Callithrix jacchus: one gene and its partners. The main gene of each other region encodes a partner of the protein of the gene in region 3 in a complex. Links are inferred from orthologs where the notes say so. Each region holds a gene or a part of one and is shown on either strand. Other genes may lie near its edges.

Evidence for each region.
Region 1: OBSL1 (region 3) and CCDC8 share a complex: the UniProt entries of both Homo sapiens proteins name them as parts of the 3M complex. The link is inferred for Callithrix jacchus from reciprocal best matches to the Homo sapiens genes OBSL1 and CCDC8.
Region 2: the proteins of OBSL1 (region 3) and MYOM1 are in contact, whole or in part, in a crystal structure (PDB 5FM5), measured with the Homo sapiens proteins. The link is inferred for Callithrix jacchus from reciprocal best matches to the Homo sapiens genes OBSL1 and MYOM1. Residues at the interface, in NP_056126.1 of Homo sapiens: Pro243, Lys253, Phe255, Val257, Asn258, Gly260, Lys261, His262, Ala263, Lys264, Phe265, Arg266, Cys267, Tyr268, Val269, Met270, Gly271, Lys272, Pro273, Pro275, Trp279, Lys305, Tyr308, Tyr317, Cys319, Ala321, Arg322, Asn323, Ser324, Ala325; in NP_003794.3 of Homo sapiens: Arg616, Pro617, Ser618, Ala619, Pro620, Trp621, Thr622, Gly623, Gln624, Ile625, Ile626, Val627, Thr628, Glu629, Glu630, Glu631, Pro632.

What each region holds. Positions count from the first base shown.
Region 1 is NC_133523.1:40,425,436-40,431,688, reverse strand, and holds CCDC8 (coiled-coil domain-containing protein 8), read left to right. Parts: upstream 1-1,833; 5' UTR 1,834-2,576; coding exon 2,577-4,169; 3' UTR 4,170-4,759; downstream 4,760-6,253. UniProt on the Homo sapiens protein: Core component of the 3M complex, a complex required to regulate microtubule dynamics and genome integrity. It is unclear how the 3M complex regulates microtubules, it could act by controlling the level of a microtubule stabilizer.
Region 2 is NC_133514.1:60,439,625-60,445,417, forward strand, and holds part of MYOM1 (myomesin-1), read left to right. Parts: intron 1-879; coding exon 880-1,063; intron 1,064-1,806; coding exon 1,807-1,981; intron 1,982-4,812; coding exon 4,813-4,934; intron 4,935-5,793. UniProt on the Homo sapiens protein: Major component of the vertebrate myofibrillar M band. Binds myosin, titin, and light meromyosin. This binding is dose dependent.
Region 3 is NC_133507.1:141,310,708-141,317,233, forward strand, and holds the start of OBSL1 (obscurin-like protein 1), read right to left. Parts: upstream 4,045-6,526; 5' UTR 3,873-4,044; coding exon 2,861-3,872; intron 1,073-2,860; coding exon 803-1,072; intron 718-802; coding exon 466-717; intron 324-465; coding exon 21-323; intron 1-20. Other genes in the region: INHA (inhibin alpha chain), read left to right, coding at 4,990-5,254. UniProt on the Homo sapiens protein: Core component of the 3M complex, a complex required to regulate microtubule dynamics and genome integrity. It is unclear how the 3M complex regulates microtubules, it could act by controlling the level of a microtubule stabilizer.

The DNA of each region.
Region 1 (6,253 bases), on a different chromosome or scaffold from region 3:
CCTTTCAAAGTGCTAGGATTATAGGCCTGGACTACCTCACTAGGCTTTAATTAACATTTTTGATTGCTAAAAATTCAATCATTCCAAAAGGGTATAGAGTGAAAAGTACATGTCTCTCCCCCACCTTTTGGGGACTCCCAGTCCTCCTCCCTAGAAACAGCCACTCTTGGCAATACTTGTACATGTGACCAGCATTGGTACACATGTTGACACCGAAGGCAGGTTATTCTGGATTCAAATCCAAACAACCACTTCCTGACTTGACCTTGAGAGAGTGGTTTTATGTCTTTGGGCCTCAGTTTCCTCAGCTGTCTAATGGGAATGGTACTCATGTTACGAGTTTCCTGTCATAGCAAGGATTTCTCAAGTTCATTCTTAGAAAGGTAGGAAGTGCCTCATAAGCCGGGCCTACGGTTAGCCATCTCGTTTTGTTCAACGCTGCGAAATATTTCACTGTAAGACACTACCATCACATAGAGGCAGTCTCTGCTCATGAACTTTTAGGGATTTTGTTGTTGTTGTTGTTGTGCTCTTTGCACTTTTGTTTTTTTTGAGACAGAGTCTCCCTCTGTCACCCAGGTTGGAGTGCAGTGGCCCAGTCTCGGCTCACTGCAACTTCCACCTCCAGCTTCAAGAGATTCTCCTGCCTCAGCCTCCAGAGTGGCTGGGACTACACACACACACCACTACGCCCGGCTATTTTTTAAATTTTTATTTTATACGGAATTTAGGTCTGTCACCCAGGCTAGAGTGCAGTGGCTCGATCTTGGCTCACTGCAACCTCCACCTCCTGGGTTTAAGCAGTTCTCCTGCCTCAGCCTCCAGAGTAGCTGAGACTACGCACGGGCACCACCACGCCTGGCTAATTTCTTTTTTATTTTTGAGACGAGTCTCACTGTTGCTCAGGATGGAGTGCAGTGCAGTGGCTGATCTTGGCTCACTGCAACCTCCGCCTCCCGGGTTCAAGTGATTCTCTTGTCTCAGCCTGCTGAGTAGCTGGGATTACAGGCACCGACCACCATGCCTGGCTAATTTTTTTGTATTTTTAGTAGAGACAGGGTTTCACCGTGTTAGCCAGGATGGTCTGTCTCCTGACCCCGTGATCTGCCCACCTCAGCCTCCCAAAGTGCTGGGATTACAGGCCTGAGCCACTGCCCCCGGCCGAGCCCGGCAAATGTTTGTATTTTTTTTTTTTTTTTTTTTTTTTTTGTACAGAGGAGGGATTCACCACGTTGGCCAGGCTTCTCTCGAACTGCTGGCCTCAAGTGTTTGTTCCACCCGCCTCGGCCTCCCAAAGTGCTGAGATTACAGGTGTGAGCCACCGCCCCGGGCCATGAACGTTTAGGTTATTCATCCACTCAAAACTATGCATTGAGCCCCGACCTTGTGCCACGCGCCACAGTGGGACTGTTGCAATAAGAACCTGGTACCCATTTCTCTACCCACGTGTGTGGGTGTACGGGTACCGATGGTCGCGTGAATTTAACATGCTCATCTATAGTGCCAGTGGCCCTCAAAAGGTCGAATCCACTAGCACAGCCACCTCCGGGGTTTGGCTGGGACTTGTCCATTTCGGAGGGCAGGTCTGGAAACCGCTGCCTTTCAGGAAAGGTGCTGACGTGGGCTACAGCCGCTTCGCTGGGAAGCAATGGGCCCAGTTAGGCCCGGGACGCGGCCACACCCCTGTGGGGGAGGGGAGGGAGGCCGCCCCGAAGGGAGTGGACAGCCCCCCTGTCAGTCTTCCCGAGTCCGGGAGTGTAAGATGAGACGGGGAAGGTGGGCCTCGTTCTAGGGGAAGGCGAGGAGGAACTTCCTGCCCCTGCGCTCCAAGGTGCAGAGCCCTAAGCGCGCGGCCTGGCAGGCTGCAGCGTGTCAAGGTCAGCCTGGAGCTGGGTGGCGGCCTGCCTGGGGGCGGGGTACCCAACTGCGGGGCCCGGCTGAGGCCTCCCAGCCCCTCGGCCATATTGAATAGCCTGGGCTGGACCGTCTTTGTCTGCGAATTCCTCTTCCAAGTTCCAGCCGCGTCCCCGGTGCCTGGGGCAGGAAGAATCGCTGGCAGCTCGCGCGCCCCAACTTGGAGCTGGACCACCACGTTTCCAGCTTGGAGTGGGCCTTGAGCCTCGGGACTGACCTCGCCCCCGCCCACGTAAGCATCCTGGAAATTGATTCCTCCAAGTCCGTGGCAAGGGAGCAGGACTTGGTCAACACTGGACTTGGTACAGGCGAAGAGATAGGAGGCGTGGGCTCGTCCCTGGCCTGGGGAGGAGACTCTCCGATCAGCGTTGCTGGCACTCCCCCGGCCTCCAGTCCCTCCCTCAAGACTGTAGCTTGTTGGGGCTCATTGCCCCCTCACCTCAGATACCACTCTGGAGATCTTAAAGACTCTCGAGAAAAGCCACGTGGGGGGCTGGTTCCCCTGGGGCTTCCTCCCGTCCCCCGACTGCCTAATTCTTTGGAGCGTCCCCGATGTCTGCAAAGATGTGGATTTGGACGTCCTCGTGGAAGCCCTGAAGCCCGTGGGGACTTTTAAGAAGATCGGGAAGGTGTTCCGCAAGGAGGAGGACTCCACGGTGGGGATGCTGCAGATTGGGGAGGACGTCGATTATTTGCTCATCCCCCGGGAGGTCAGGCTGGCCGGGGGCGTCTGGAGAGTCATCTCCAAGCCCGCCACCAAGGAAGCAGAATTTCGGGAGCGGCTGATCCAGTTCCTGGAAGAAGAAGGCCGCACCCTGGAGGACGTGGCCCGAATCATCGAGAAGAGCACCCCGCACCCGCCCCAGCCCCCCAGAAAGCCCAGGGAGCCCCGAGTGAGGAGAAGAGTGCAGCAGATGGTGACTCCTCCGCCCCGGTTGGTCGTGGGCACCTACGACAGCAGCAATGCCAGCGACAGTGAGTTGAGCGACTTCGAGACCTCCAGAGACCAGAGCCGCCAAGGCCCGCGGCGGGGCAAGGCGGTGCGCAGGATGCCGGTCAGCTACCTGGGCAGCAAGTTCCTGGGCAGCGATCTGGAGAGCGAGGATGATGAGGAACTGGTCGAGGCCTTCCTCCGGCGAGAGGAGAAGCAGCCCAGTGCGCCGCCTGCCCGCCGTCGCGTCAACCGGCCAGTGCCGATGTTTGAGGACAACCTGGGGCCTCGGCTGTCCAAGGCGGACAGGTGGCGGGAGTATGTCGGCCAGGTGTCCTGGGGGAAGCTGAAGCGGAGGGTGAAGGGTTGGGCGCCGAGGGCGGGACCCGGGGTGGGTGAGGCCCGGCTGTCCTCCACCGCATCAGGGAGCGCAGGAGTATCATCCGCGCCAGAGGGCACCAGCCCCAGGGATCGCGTGGGAAACGCGGGAGATGCCTGTGCGCCCCAGACCTCCCCCAGGCGATGGAGGCCCAAGATCAACTGGGCCTCCTTTCGACTCCACAGAAAGGAGCAGACAGCATCCACAGGTCAGGGGGCAGACTTCCAGGCTAATCATGGGGGAGAGGCTGCAGATAATCAGAGGGAAGGGGCCATAGCTGACCGGAGGGAAGAGGCCCCAGCTGACCAGGGGCCAGAGGCTGCAGATAACCAGAGAGAAGAGGTTGCTGATAATCAGAGGGAAGAGGCCGCAGCTGACCAGGGGCCAGAGGGTGAAGATAACCAGAGGGAAGAGGCTGCAGATAATCAGAGGGCAGAGGCCCCAGCTGACCAGGGGTCAGAGGCTGCAGATAATCAGAGGGCAGAGGCCCCAGCTGACCAGGGGTCAGAGGCTGCAGATAATCAGAGGGCAGAGGCCCCAGCTGACCAGGGGTTAGAGGCTGCAGATAATCAAAGGGAAGAGGCCGTACATGACCAGAGGGAAAGGTCCCCAGCTGTCCAGGGTGCAGATAATCGGAGGGCCCAGGCTGCACATAATCAGAGGGCAGGTGCCCCAGGCATCCAGGAAGCTGAAGCTTCAGCTGCCCAAGGGACCACAGGGACAGCTTCAGGAGCCAGGGCCCGGAAACAGGTCAAGACAGTGAGGTTCCAGACCCCTGGACGCTTTTCGTGGTTTCGCAAGCACCGGAGAGCCTTCTGGCACACTCCCCGGTTGCCAACCCTGCCCAAGAGAGTCCCCAGGGCCGGTGAGGCCAGGAACCTCAGAGTGCTGAGGGCTGAGGGCAGAGCAGAAGCTGAGCAGGGAGAGCAAGAAGACCAGCTGTGAAGTGGGAGCTAGGGACAGCGCACAGGCCCTCCCTCCGTGTGGGGGAGAGAGGTTGATCTTTCTGCCTCTGAACTTGAAAACGGAGGTGGATGCTGCCCACATCTCCACCTAAGCACCCTCTTTATTCTCTTGTTAAAATCTAGTCTCATGCTTTGATTTTTTTTGTTGTTATTTTTTAGAGACAGGGTCTCACTCTGTTGCCCAGGCTGGAGTGCAGTGGCATGATCGTAACTCACTGCAGCCTCAAACTTCTGGCCTCAAGTGATCCTCCTGCCTCGGCCTCCCAAAGCACTGGGATTACAGATGTGAGCCACCATGTGCACCACCTGATTTTTTAAAAAAAGACTGATTCCTTGTAGCAACCCAAAGAATGTAAGGAAAGAAATCGATAGGATAGGGTGGCATCACCCATAGTTTTAGCTTTCTCAGATGCAACTCAAGGTGCTCAGTTTGAAACAGGAGAGAGGGAGGGCAGGGGGGAAACCGCCTCTGTTTCCATCTCCCTTCGCCTGCACACTTAATGTTGACTGCCTCCTTGGACTTAAAAAGAAGGCTTGAGCCAACATAGAAATAAAACATTCACGAACTGATTTCTTAGCTTTGGACTTGGCAAGTGACGAATGCTGTGGGGGTGACCTGGCCCTTGCTGTCCGTTCCACTCCCATCCTTGGTGGTGGAGACACATGTGTTTTTGTTGTCACTTCACTTGTCATCCTCGTGCGCCTGGGCTCTGCTGCTTTGGAGGGGACAGGGCCCTGGGTTTTCACACCTCACCCGATCTTGGTGATAAGGTACAGTAAAGGCATCCAGAAGGTGCATTCAAAAAACAGATTCTGGGGCCCTCGACGCCAGAGATGTGGATTTGCTAGCGCTGTCTGTGTGGCTCTGAATTCTGTTTGGATCAGGTGCCACAAACATCTGGGCAACTTGGCTGCAGGACTTTGGAAACTCACTGCACTAGGAAAAGGCCCAAAAGAGGGTCTGTGGTGTATTATGCATTAATTCCTTCTTTTTCTTTTTTCTTTTTTTGAGACAGAGTCTCGCCCTGTCTCCCAGGCTGGAGTACAGTGGCTCGATCTCAGCTCACTGCAACCTCTGCCTCCTGAGTTCAAACAATTCTCTTGCCTCAGCCTCCTAAGTAGCTGGGACTACAGGCACCCGCCTCCACACCCAGCTAATTTTTGTATTTTTTTTTTTTTAGTAGAGATGGGGTTTCACTGTTGCCCAGGCTGGTTGCAAACTCCTGAGCTCAGGCAGTCACCCACTTTGGCCTCCCAAAGTGCTGGGATTACAGGTGTGAGCCACCATGCCCCGCCCTTTTATTATTTTTTGAGATGTAGTCTCACTCTGTCTCCCAGGCTGTAGTGCAGTGGCAAGATCCTCACTCACTGCAATCTCCGCTTCCCGGGTACAAGCATTCAAGTAATTCTCCAGCCTCAGCCTCTTGAGTAGCTGGAACTACAGGCCTGTGCCACCATACCAGGCTAATTTTTGTATTTTTAGTAGAGATGGGGTTTCACCATGTTGGCCAAGCTGGTTTCGAACTCCTGATCTCAACTGATCCACCCACCTTGGCTTCCCCAAGTTCTGGGATTACAGGCATGAGCCACTGCACCCGGCCAATTGCTTCTTATAATTGGGAAGAAATTGGTTTGCTAAGGCCCTGTGGAGGTTTGGAGGAAGCTGGGGGCCTCTCTCTGTATTGCTTTGTGTCCCCAAAACCCCCAGCAGTGAAAACAGCAAATGACCACACTCGAGCCTTGCTGAGGGCAGGAGAAAAGGGAGTTCATGGAGGAGGTCCAAGGACCAGTTCTGTCTACCTAACTGGTGTAGGCCTAGACTGAGTTTCTTATTTTTTTTCTCTGGGAAGTAAAGAAATCTGTCCCAGCCCCTTCTTTTGTTGTTCTCTCTTCCACGATGCTTCTTCCTTCCTTCCCTCTTTCCCTCCCTCCTTTCTTTCCTTTCCTTTTTATTTTGTTTGAGACAGAGTCTCTGTTGCCCAAGCTGGAGTGCAGTGGCGTGATCTCAGCTCACTGCAACCTCTGCCTCCTAAATAGCTGAGACTACAGGTGCCCAACACGCCT
Region 2 (5,793 bases), on a different chromosome or scaffold from region 3:
AGCAACATGGGGAAACCTTGTCTCTACCAAAAAAAGTACAAAAATTAGCCAGGTGTGGTTGCATGTGCCTGTAGTCCCAGCTACTCAAGAGGCTGAAGTGGAAGGATCACTTGAGTCCAGGGAGGTCAAGGCTGCAGTGAGCCCTGATTGTACTACTGGACTCTAACCTGGGTGACAGAGTAAGACCCTGTCTCAAAAATAAAATAAAATAAAATTTAATTAAAATTAGGAAATTGCCTGACTCCAGACTATCTTCAAAATAAGATTTTTGAAGGATTTAATTATTGTATTTCATTAACAAAGGAAGTGAACTATTAAAGTAGTATATTTTTCAAACAATACAAAGCTGTATTTTCATCCCATTGATAATGACATACCTGATACTGGGTAATTTATAAGAAAAAGAGGTTTAAAGGACTCACAGTTCCACGTGGCTGCGGAGGCCTCACAATTATGGTGGAAGGTGAAAGGCATGTCTTACATGGCGATAGGGAAGAGAGAGAATGAGAGCCAAGTGAAAGAAATTTCTTCTAAAACCATCAGGTCTCGTGAGAGTTATTCACTACCACAAGAACAGTATGGGGGGAACCATCCCCATGATTCAATTATCTCTTACCAGGTCCCTCCCACACACATGGGAATTATGGGAGCTACAATTCAAGATGAGATTTGGGCAGGGACACAGCCAAACCATATCAAAAGCCATATTTGATTTAGCGAATCCTGAGAACTTTAGATGCCTCATCCCCCATTTCCTCCAAATCTCTCCTCCAGTCCAGCTCACATTACAGGGAGTGGTTTGCTGCAGATGAATGAAACTTGGGGATGCCTCGCCTGTGCTTGCTGTGCTTTCAGTGGGTTTCCTTGTTTTTGCTACAGTGTGAGGCAGGAACAGAAAATTGGCAGCGAGTGAACACGGAGCTCCCTGTGAAGTCTCCCCGCTTTGCACTGTTCGACCTGGTTGAGGGGAAATCCTACTGTTTCCGCGTCCGCTGTTCTAATTCTGCAGGAGTTGGTGAGCCCTCCGAGGCAACGGAGGTGACTGTGGTAGGGGACAAACTTGGTAAGCAACTGTAAACTTCTTTTACTTTAAGAGAAAATTTTAAAGCAGGAATCTAAGTTGTATATGTATATTTGGCCAGGAGTAAAAATGGTGACATCTTTCTTTCACATTATAAATTTAGTTCTTTCACATTATAAACTTAGCCTATACATTAAACAACAATTCAGTGTTTTTGTTAATGAAAAGTAAACTTCCTTGGGAGTTTCAACAATATTGATAATGTGTTTTTTTCTGAAGTTCATAGATATTTAGTGTATCCATGCTCCCTTACTAACAGTTTTTTAATTTTCTGCTTTAAAAGATACAATGTAGGCCAGGCCTGGTGGCTCACCCCTGTAATCTGAGCACATTGGGAGGCCAAGGCAGGCAGATCACCTGAGTCCAGGAGTTTGAGACCAGCCTGGCCAACATGGTGAAACCCCATCTCTACTGAAAATACAAAAATTAGCTGGGAATCCTGCCGCATGCCTGTAATCCCAGCTACTTGGGAGACTGAGGCAAGAAAATTGCCTGAACCCGGGAAGTGAAGGCTGTAGTGAGCTGAGCCTGTACTGCTCACTGCCATCGCTCTCCAGCCTGGGCAACAGAGCAAGACTCGGTCTCAAAAAAAAAAAAACCATAAAAGCAGCTGTCCTTTTGACATGATGAAGTGTGTAAAATACCTGGGGGTCTGTTTGTGCATAGGTGATAAGGATGACTTTTTAAAACCACCTGAGTTTGATCACTGTTTTCCTCTTTCTCAGATATCCCCAAGGCTCCTGGCAACATCATCCCAAGCAGAAACACAGACACCTCAGTAGTAGTTACGTGGGAGGAGTCCAAAGATGCCAAAGAGCTGGTCGGGTACTACATAGAGGCGAGCGTTGCTGGCTCTGGCAAATGGGAGCCCTGTAACAACAACCCTGTGAAGGGCTCACGGTAACTGAACCAGGCGTGCAGAGCGGGCCATGGCCTCTGGAGCTGCTATAGACACACATGGCACACAGACATCCAGTGAGGGAGATTTTTTAAAAAAACATTATACTTTTTGGCCGGATGCGGTGGCTTACACCTGTAATCCTAGCACGTTGGGAGACTGAAGTGGGAAGATTGCTTAAAGCCAGAAGTTAAAGACCAACCTGGCCAACAGTGAGACCCCATCTTTAAAAATAAAAATAACAAAATAACATTATACTTTAAATAAGCCAGATGCAGTGACAGGCCTGTACTCCTAGCTACTCAGGAAGCTGAGGTGGGTGGATCACTTGAGCTGAGGAGTTGGAAGCTGTAGTACCCATTGACCAGGCCTGTAAATAGCCAGTATATTCCATCCCAGGCAACATAGGAAGACCCATCTCTAAAAAAGGAAATCAGAACAAGGCTGGGTATGATGGCTCATACCTGTAATCTCAACACTTTGGGAGGTCAGGGTGAGCAGATTGCTCGAGCCTAGGCATTTGAGACCAGCCTGGGCAACATGGCAAAAACCCACTTCTACAAAAAACATAAAAATCAGCCCAGCATAGTAGTGTGCCTATAGTCCTAGCTACTCAAGAGGTTGAGGTGGGAGAATTACTTGAGCCTGGGAGGTCGAGGCTGCAGTGAGCTATAATCACACCACTGCACTCCAGCCTGGAGACAGAATGAGACTCCGTCTCAAAAAAAAAAAACAAAAAAACCGATTACACTTAAGACATTTAAATGAATTTAAAATTGAACATATTAGATGCAATACATCTTTTTAAAAAGGTTTACTTGTGATGAAACACTTAGCAACATATAATGCCAGCTATTGTAAGAGTTCATTTAATAGTGCTTTTCCGTTTTTTTCCTTTATGCTGCTTCTTCCTTTTTTACCCCTCTGATTTTGTATGTAATATGAAACCTGATACTAGATTCTGAGGATCTAACATACTCTACTTAACATAAATCACCCAGGAATTTTAAATGAAGAGAGAAAAAGTATCAACATTTTACAAATTCTGAACATCAACATGATTAAACCCAAATGCTACACAGACATAAGTAACACCAAAACTAAGATATTCACAATACTTTGCTGCCTCTTTGTATCTGTTTTTAATGGGGGAGCATTGGTTTTTTCCTTGCTTTCAACTATTTTATCAATCGGCTTTGCACATTGATGGTGAATTCTGGTCTACACCCAGACCAGAGACCAGTCTGAGACGGGGATGCCACCGTCCCCAAAATTGTCAAATAGTTTTGTTCGGCAGCTTCTGGCTTGGATCACTTCTCAATCCGAGGACCCCCCCATAGGATGAGTTGGTTTTGCACAACATGAGAGAATAGAGGCAAACAGATTAATTAGGGAAGGCAATATGTTTTGAAAAAGATTCATTTAGCCTGTTGGTGCATTTCATTTTTCCTCTGAGTTACCCAGCATTTTCCTAGGACCATTTAGAAACACTGGTGGTGTGTAGGCAGGAGCTGCTGGGGGGCAGGAACCATTTTTTGTTCATCTTTTGTCCACAGTAACTCCTAGCTCAGTGTCTGGAACACGGAGACCTCAATAAATCTTCGCTGAAGCAAGCTGACCCTAAGGACTGAAGGACTGGCCTGGATTATGGCTCCTTTATTAAATACTTGAACATGCTAATAGTCATAGATTCATTAGCAGACCTGTTACTTCCTCTGGCTGCAATCCTTAGGATGGATTCAAATGTTACAGTGATTCATGAACAGCTATTTATAGCCATGATAGCTATGAAAAGAGTGAGGTTGTCTTGTGGATGAAACTGCCCATGGATTCACACTTCATTATTGGATCCTCATATCTAAATAGTAATTCTAGAATTCATTGTTCACCTTATCTTCAGATTCTAGAGTGATTTCCCAAGTAAGTACCTTCCTTGGCATCCAGGGAGACAGTGACTAGCCTCTATGACAAGGAGCCACCAATTAATCATATTATTAATTGGATATCAGGCTTAATACCTGGATGATAAAATAATCTGTACAACAAACTCCTGTGACATGAGTTTACCAATATAACAAACCTTCACATGTATCCCTGAGCCTAAAAGTTAAAAACTATATGTGAGTTATACTCTAAAATTATTTCTTAAATAACATTATTACTATTAACTATTATTTATTAAATGCCTCATATATGCCAGACCGTATAATAGGTACTTCATATACTTTATAATTAACTCTACATGAATATTATCATGTAAGCATCATTATCCCTATTTTACCGGTGAGCATTCAGAGGAAGACCAGGGCTCCTCATTTTTTGACAAAGTAGGTTTAGAAAAGCACCTTAGTTACCTTCTTTCTAAAGTATATATGTTACCTGAATCTTTCTACATCTTTTTCTTTCTTTCAAAAAATGAATTATCACACACGTATGGTCCCAGCTACTTGGGAGGCTGATGCAGGAGAATCGCTTGAATCCAGGAGGTGGAGCTTGCAGTGAGCCGAGATCTCACCGCTGCATACCAGCCTAGGCAACAGAACAAGACTCTGACTCAAAAAAAAAAAAAAAGAATTATTAGCTGGACATGCTGCTTACACCAGTAATCCCAGCACTTTGGGAAGCTGAGGTGGGAGGGAGGATGGCTTGAGGCCAGGAGTTTAAGACCAGCCTGGGCAAAACAGCAAGACCCTGTTTCTATTGATCATAAATTCCCCCCCAAAAAAATAATAATAATTGTTTTCATAACGCCAGATCTACTCCATTAAGCTAACAATAATCTTCCTTAATCTTCCTCCTAAGAAAAATTTTAAAAAAATTTGTTTTCTTTTAGATTTACTTGTCATGGATTGGTGACTGGTCAGAGTTATATTTTCCGGGTCAGAGCAGTCAATGCAGCTGGACTTAGTGAATATTCCCAGGATTCAGAAGCTATTGAAGTCAAAGCTGCTATTGGTAAGTTCCTCATGCACAACTGCATAGAGGAAAAATGGATTTTTCTATGTTAGAAAGGAAGATGTCATCCTCTCTAGAAATTGTTTAAAGCTTCCACTATTCCTGGATTATTGCATCCTTAGATGAATATTTTCTCTGACTCTAGGTGATGTCTAACCTTCCATAGCTGTCATTTTACAGACCTTCATCACTTATCCAGATTCTGTGCATCCGTAGCCTTTTCATCTTCAGGAGTCCAAGTTTCCTCAGATATTTCCCATTGTGTGAAACTCCATTCTAATTTCGTGCTCATCCTGGGACTATGAAGGGCCATCCTGATTCCATGAAGTGGTACATCACCAATAACACAGATCATCTTGTCTCTAAAAGCCATTTCATCTATGCCAGAGCCTAGCTTGTCTTCGCTAACAGAATATTAATATGCTTCTTATAAATGCCTCTGAAATTCATGCAATGCACATGTAGTTGCTTAATCATATATTTCATCTCTACTTGCAAAGTAACCAACAGAATAAAACCAGTAATAAAGTAATTATATGTGTGTATGTGATGTACCTCCCAATCTTGGATAAAGTAGAAGGAGGGATAGAGGTGGTTAGAAACAATAAAAATTGTATTTGTGGGCTGAGCACGGGGGCTTACACCTGTAATCCCAGCACTTTGGGAGGCAGAGGTGGGCAGATCTCTTGAGTCCAGGAGTTCGAGACCACCCTGGGCAACACAGTGAGATCCCATCTCTAAAAAAAAAAAAATCAAAAAAATTAGCCAGGCATTGTAGTGCATGCCTATAGTCTCAGCTATTCAGCAGACTGAGGCAGGAGGATCATTTGAGCCCAGGAGTTCAAGGCTGCAGTGAACT
Region 3 (6,526 bases):
GTCTGACAGGACCAACTCACCAAGGTGAGCAGAACCATGGAACACCACGTGAGGACTGCGACCATGTCCACTGACTGCGCAGATGCGGAAGCGGTAGTCACCCTCGGAGGGCACACAGTCGCCCGGCACCTCCACAGCTCCGGCTTTCTCGATGCTGAAGCACTGAATCCAGTCTTCAGAGCCCACTTCCTGCCGCTCCAGCCGGTAGATGAATGGGGTCTCGGGAGCAGGCTCGGGAGGCTTCCAGGTCAGCAGGACCGTGTTCTTCTGGCCCTTGAACATCTCTGCCGACACGGGGGGCCCTGGGGGACTGTGCTTGATGCCTGAGACCAAGGCAAGGATGTGTTCCAGCCTTGCTCGGGCCTCCACAGCCCTTCCACCTTAAATCTGCTTCTCCAACCCAGCTGGGGCATCTGGCCAACCTCCCACCCTGGCCCGCCTGTCCAGAGGCCTTCCTGCCCTCACATTTGACTCTGAGCAGCGCAGTGGTATGGGAGTTGCCCAGGCTAAAGGTGACCTCGCCAGCATCTTCTCGGGTGACCCCTGGAAGGACCAGTGCATGCATGTGGCCCGAGGTGGTCTGGCAGATGGCCGGCAGCTCCTCTCCATCACGACTCCACCGTCCCTGGACCCCGGCCTCTAGAGTTTCCACCAGCAGCACCGCATTCTCTCCTTCCAGGACATCAAGCTTCCGGGGCAGGCGCTTCAGGATGGGCCCTGAGATGCAGACAGGAATCCATCAGCCTGGAGTCTGAGCACCTGCCTGCCTCTGCCTCAGCCCCTTCCCTGTGGGCCAGCCGACCTTTGACTGTGACATTGGCCACAGTGCGCACCCGGCCCCGCATCTCACACAGGTAGACACCGTCGTCGTCTGCCTTCAGCCTGTGGATGATGAGGCGCCGGACGGTGCCCTCTTCAATCTGCTCGTACTTGCGGCAGGGCAGCAGCCGCTGGTCCTCTCGGAACCAGGCCGTGGGGATGCGGGAGTTGGGTACTTTACACTCCAGCACGGCAATCCCGTGCTCACGGCCCTCCACATCCTGCAGGGGCCTTGTGAACCGGAGGCGGGGCTCTATGGAGAGGGGAGAGACAAGAGAGGGCTCTGGAGAAGGGCTAGACTAGGAGGAGGACTCCTCAGAGCGCATTAGTTCAGGCTGGGTGCTCTTCACGCAGAGCCAGCAGGCACAGTGGAATCACAGAAAACCACCAGAAGGCAAGTGGTAGTTCCTAAGATGGCCTAAGTTCTCATCCGGGCCTGACACTTACTAGCCGCATCACCTTGAGAGTCCATTTCAATGTTTCTGAGCCTCAGTCTCCTTACTTGGAAAATGGGAACAGAGAGGGAAAGGGTTGGACCACATTGGTGATTTCCAAACTGTTCCTGCCCCCACTCCCCCAGGTATTTCATATATTCCACAAAGGCCTGAGTAGAATTTAAAATATTTTAACTCTTTTCAAAAGTGTATTTCGGTCAGGCAAGGTGGCTCCTGCCTGTAATCTCAGCAATTTGGGAGGCCAAAGTGGGTGGATCACCTGAGGTCGGGAGTTCGAGACAAGCCTGAGCAACAAGGAGAAATCCCATCTCTACTAAAACACAAAATTAGCAGAGTACTGTGGCGCATGCCTCTAATCCCAGCTACTTGGGAGGCTGAGGAAGGAGAATGGCTTGAACCTGGGAGGCAGAGGTTGCGGTAAGCCAAGATTGCACCATTACACTCCAGCCTGGGCAGCAAGAGCAAAACTCTGTCTCAAAAAAAAAAAAGTGTATTTCAAAAAAAAGAAAACAGGATGTTAGAAACCAGGTTAACTTAGATTGCTGGAAAAGCAAGTTTTTTTTGTGTGTGCAACTCTGGGAAGCACCTCTAGCCCTCCCTCAGGGCTTTTCCTCCCTGATGGAGGTCCAGATCCACATCAGCCTGGCGAATCTGTGCACATCGAACTGTACCAGTGAGGCCACCACCACAGCCTGGGGGGGCCACATGCTTGACTGCATGCCAGGCAGGACTCAGGATAATTTACCAACTTTGTTTTTCCTCCTAGAGAAAAATCTGGACAACTAGTGAAGGCGTAATCCTTTGCACTGTGATGAAATACTGTTATGGAGACTGTTACCTTCCAGTGAGTTTGGGGTGTGTTTTTTTCCCTTTGAATTTTCTGTTTATGAGAATGTAAGCATTTATTGGATATTGTTCCTTCACCTTCCTCTTCTTTCAAAAGTGGGGAGCAGTTTAATCAAAGAACAGTAAAAACATTCAGGAAATTTGTCCACCCTCAAGTCTACCTTTCCACTGAAACGGTGGTTTCTCAAGGTGACAGATGCAGCCAGGCCGTCCCCTCTCCACGGGGTTCAGAGCCTGAACCACGAATGCAGCCTTCACTTCAAATGCCTATATTCAATAAAACGGCCTCCTGATTCTCACTGATGCTTTAGAAGCCTGTTACACACGTAGACTTAGCAATTTACACCCATAAAACACTCCTTTATCTGTTTCATCTATTGGGGCTCCGGTTGTGAATTCAGTTGGGGAAGGAGGAGTAAAATAACAAAGACGATGAAAACCACTAGGGGAGAAGAGTTCTAGGCCCTTCTAGGTTTGTACATCAATCACTTCTTAGTGGTGTTCCACCATCTGCCTCAGAATCACTTGGGGAGTTTTCTAAGAAGTTGCTGAGCACCCTGGAGACCTACTAAATCCGAATCCCTGGGGAGTGGGAGGCAGGCGGGTTGGGTCTTTTAATATTCCCGCCGACCTCCCCTCCCCCAGTCTTCAGGGCAGCGCCGGGCACCGAGAGGGGCCGGGGTTCGGCGGGCCTCCGAGGACACTCAAGGCCGCTCCCCGGGCCCCGGGCGCTGCCGTACCTTTCACGTGCAGCTGCACTGCGCTGAGCGTCTGGCCCGCGGAGTTGCGCGCGGCGCAGACGTAGAGCCCGCGGTCCTTGGCCTGGCAGTAGAGCACCTTGAGCACGAAGCCGCCGTCGCGGTCGCGGTACATTAGGCGGCGGCGGTCCGGGAGCAGCGGGAGGCCCTCCCAGTGCCATTCGATCTCGGGCTCGGGCTTGCCCATCACGTAGCAGCGGAACTTGGCGTGCTTGCCCTCGTTCACCCAGAAGGTCTTGGGCGCGCACTTGAGCGGCTCCACCACGGGCGCGGGGGCCTCATCGGGGTCCGCGGGCGGGCTCTCAGGGGGCTGCTGCACCTGGAGCAGCGCGCCAGCCTGCGCGTGGCCGTGCGCGTTGCGGGCGTGGCACACGTAGACACCGGAGTCCGGCAGCCGCGCGGCCAGGATGCGCAGCGCCAGGCTCGCGCCCGGGCCGTCCTCGGCCCGGCCAGGCTCCAGAGCGAAGTGGCTGCTGTCCCACACTTCGTCCAGCGCCATCCCGTCCTTCTCCCAGTACAGCGTGGGCTCGGGGAGGCCCCCGGCCTGGCACGTCAACACCACCTCCGCCCCCCGCAGCACCCACTGGGACCGCGGCCCCGCCAGGAAGACCGGGGCGCCCTCCCCGGACCCCGGCGGCGGCAGCGGGAGCTCGGCGGGCTGCGGCTCGGGCTCGGAGGCCGGCGGCTCCAGCACGGTGATGGCGGCCGCCGCGTAGGCCTCTCCGGCCACATTGCGGGCGCGGCACACGTAGACCCCCGCGTCGGTGGGCAGCGCGCCGTTCAGCAGCAGGCCGTGCTCCGCGCCGTCCGCCAGGAAGCTCAGGCGTTCCGAGGCCGCCAGCTGCTGCCCGCCCTTCTCCCACACCACGACGGGCGGCGGCTCCCCCAGGACCACGCACTTGAGCTCGGCCTCGGCGCCACTTACCACCCGCACGGGCCGCGGGAAGCGCAGGAAGCACGGGGGGCTCCCCTGGTCCCCCGAGCTTGCCTTCATCGCGGCGGCCACAGACCGCCCGCAGTGGCGAACCAGGGAGGGTGGGCGGAGGGCGAGCCGAGGCCGGAGGCGGCGGCGAGGGCTCCGGGACCGGGGCGCGGGGATCCGCGGAGTTCTCCCAGGCTGCCCGCTCCCTGCTCGCCTCCCTGTCCTCGGTCTGGAGCTGCAACTCTGCGGCGGCGGCGATTCCCTGACCCAGAGCCCGGCACTTAGGGGGCAGTCCTTCCTGTTTGGCTCTCCAGCGAGGGGCCCCGCAGCCTCCTCTGCCTGCGGCCTGGCTTCCTGCTCTGGGGAGGCTCTCTTCCCAGCCCCCTCCCACAGCTTGGGCCTCTTTCCCCTCCTCCCTCCCACCTCCAGTCACCAGGTCCCCAGCCGCCTGCCCGCCAGGCTTGGGCCTGAGTGGCAGAGGCGCCTGCAGCTGCCAATCCCAAAAATATTCTCTGATGACACAGCTGGAGGACAAGAGCCCAGACTGGCTCCTCTGGGCTAAGTATAGAGCAGGCGGGACCACCTGGCCCCCGCCCTAGCTCCGGTTCTAGCCCTGGCCCCAGCCCTTCCCCCAGTGGCTGGCCTGCCCAGCAGCTGCTCATTGAAAGGGGCCCCAGAAGGTCTGAGGGGTGGTGCACTCTGTCTCCTGGACAAATGACACTTTCTGGGGCTGGCCGGCTACAGCTCCCAGGCTTGATGTCACTTCTGGATGTGAGACTGTGTGTGTGTGTGTGTGTGTGTGTGTGTGTGAATAGGGAGTTGATGTCCCCTCTGGATGTGTGTGTGTGTGTTTGTGTGTATGTGTGCAGGGAGAAGGGGTTGTATGTTTGCATGAGGGTCGGGTCGCTTGGGGCGAAACCCTCTCCAGCCCCTCCCCCACATTCCTGGCGGGAGTGGGAGATAAGGCTCATGGCCACAGGCATCTACGTCAGAGATAGGAGGTCTCAATGCCACGGGCAGGGGCAACTCGGACTGTGGGGCGTGGGAAGGACTGGGGAAGACTGGGTGAGAAGCATACAAGAGGGTGGGTGTGGGATGAGGAGGGGAAAGCAGGGAGGCCCTGGGCACACCCTGGCAGAAGGGGCACAGGGCAGGGAGTGGGTTCCCCGCTAGTAGGGCCAGGTGAGCCATGGCACTGCCACTGCTGCTCTTCTTGCTGCTGGCCCCACAGGGTGGACACAGCTGCGAAGGGTCAGAGCTGGCCCGGGAGCTTGTTCTGGCCAAGGTGAGGGCCCTGTTCCTGGATGCCTTGGGGCCCCCGGCAGTGACCAAGGAAGGTGGGGACCCTGGAGTCAGGCGGCTGCCCCGAAGACATGCCCTCGGGGGCTCCACACGCAGGGGATCTGAACCCGAGAAGGAGGATGTCTCCCAGGCCATCCTTTTCCCAGCCACAGGTAACAAGGGTGGGGGAACCGACAGGGTGACTGAGAAGCTGCCAGGCACAACATGGGTTTGCAGGCCAGGTGGACCAGGGTTTGAATCCCAGCCCTGTCATTCAGCGTCTTTGCAACAATAGGCCAGTTACTAAACCTCCCTGTGCCTCTATCTCCCCATCTATAAAATGGGCGATAACGCCTACCTCTCAGGATTGAGATGCTGCACCCAGAGTGCGTGGCATGTGGGAGGCATTTGGGAGGGATGCACCAGGAGACCAGGGGTCTGTAGAGATGCGGCTGGGCTGGCCACCTTTCTTCCTATCTCTGCCTCTGCTTGCTACTCCAATCCCTGTTTCTTTAGTCCCAGGTAGCTGAGACTGAGAAGCCATCAGAGATACAGGCAAAAGATTGGTTGGGAAACTTTTCTGGAGAACTTGTCTATCTTCTCTTGAGTTCCTGTCTCAACTTATGTGTGTCCTCTTGTTCCACTGACTGAACGGATAAACCCTCTTCCGGGTGGCCTTTCTTGTCATCTAGTCCACCTTTCTCTTAGAGGGTTCTCTTAGAGAGGACCCCTGCCTCCCTCACTTCACCCCCTCCACAGCACCGTGGGGAAAAGGATGGCTTTGGGCTCAGGCAAAATCCCAGCCTGGCCACTTAGTTGTTGAATGTCATTTCACCTCTCTAAGCCTCAGTCTCCTTATCTGCAAAATGGACCAATTTGTAATATATAATGGGTGCTGCTCCAGTATGATTAGTATAGTCTACGAGTGTGTCAGTGTAAGGATGCTAACTGCACATTCTTTGTTTCTGAGATAGAATTTTGCTCTTGCTGCCCAAGCTGGGGTGCAATGGCACGATCTCGGCTCACTGCAACCCCTGTCTCCCGGGTTCAAGCTATTGTCCTACCTCAGCCTCCCAAGTAGCTGGGATTACAGGCTCGTGCCACCACACCCAGCTAATTTATTCTATTTTTAGTAAAGACAGCATTTCACCATATTAGCCAGGCTGGTCTTGAACTCCCAACCTCAGGTGATCCACCCACCTCAGCCTCCCAAAGTGCTGGGATTACAGGCATGAACCACTGTGCCTGTCCCCAACTGGACATTCTTGAAAGGATTGTCCTCTGTTCTGAGTTACAACCCTTCTCCTCCTCTTCCCCCTCCTCCTTGTTCTTCGTTTTCTTCTCCTTCCCACTCCCCTTTCCCTCCTTCTTCTTAGTTTTTTGCTGGTAACTTGTCTTTTAAAAATGGAATTAAAGAATTTATCATAATTGTATGATATGCAATA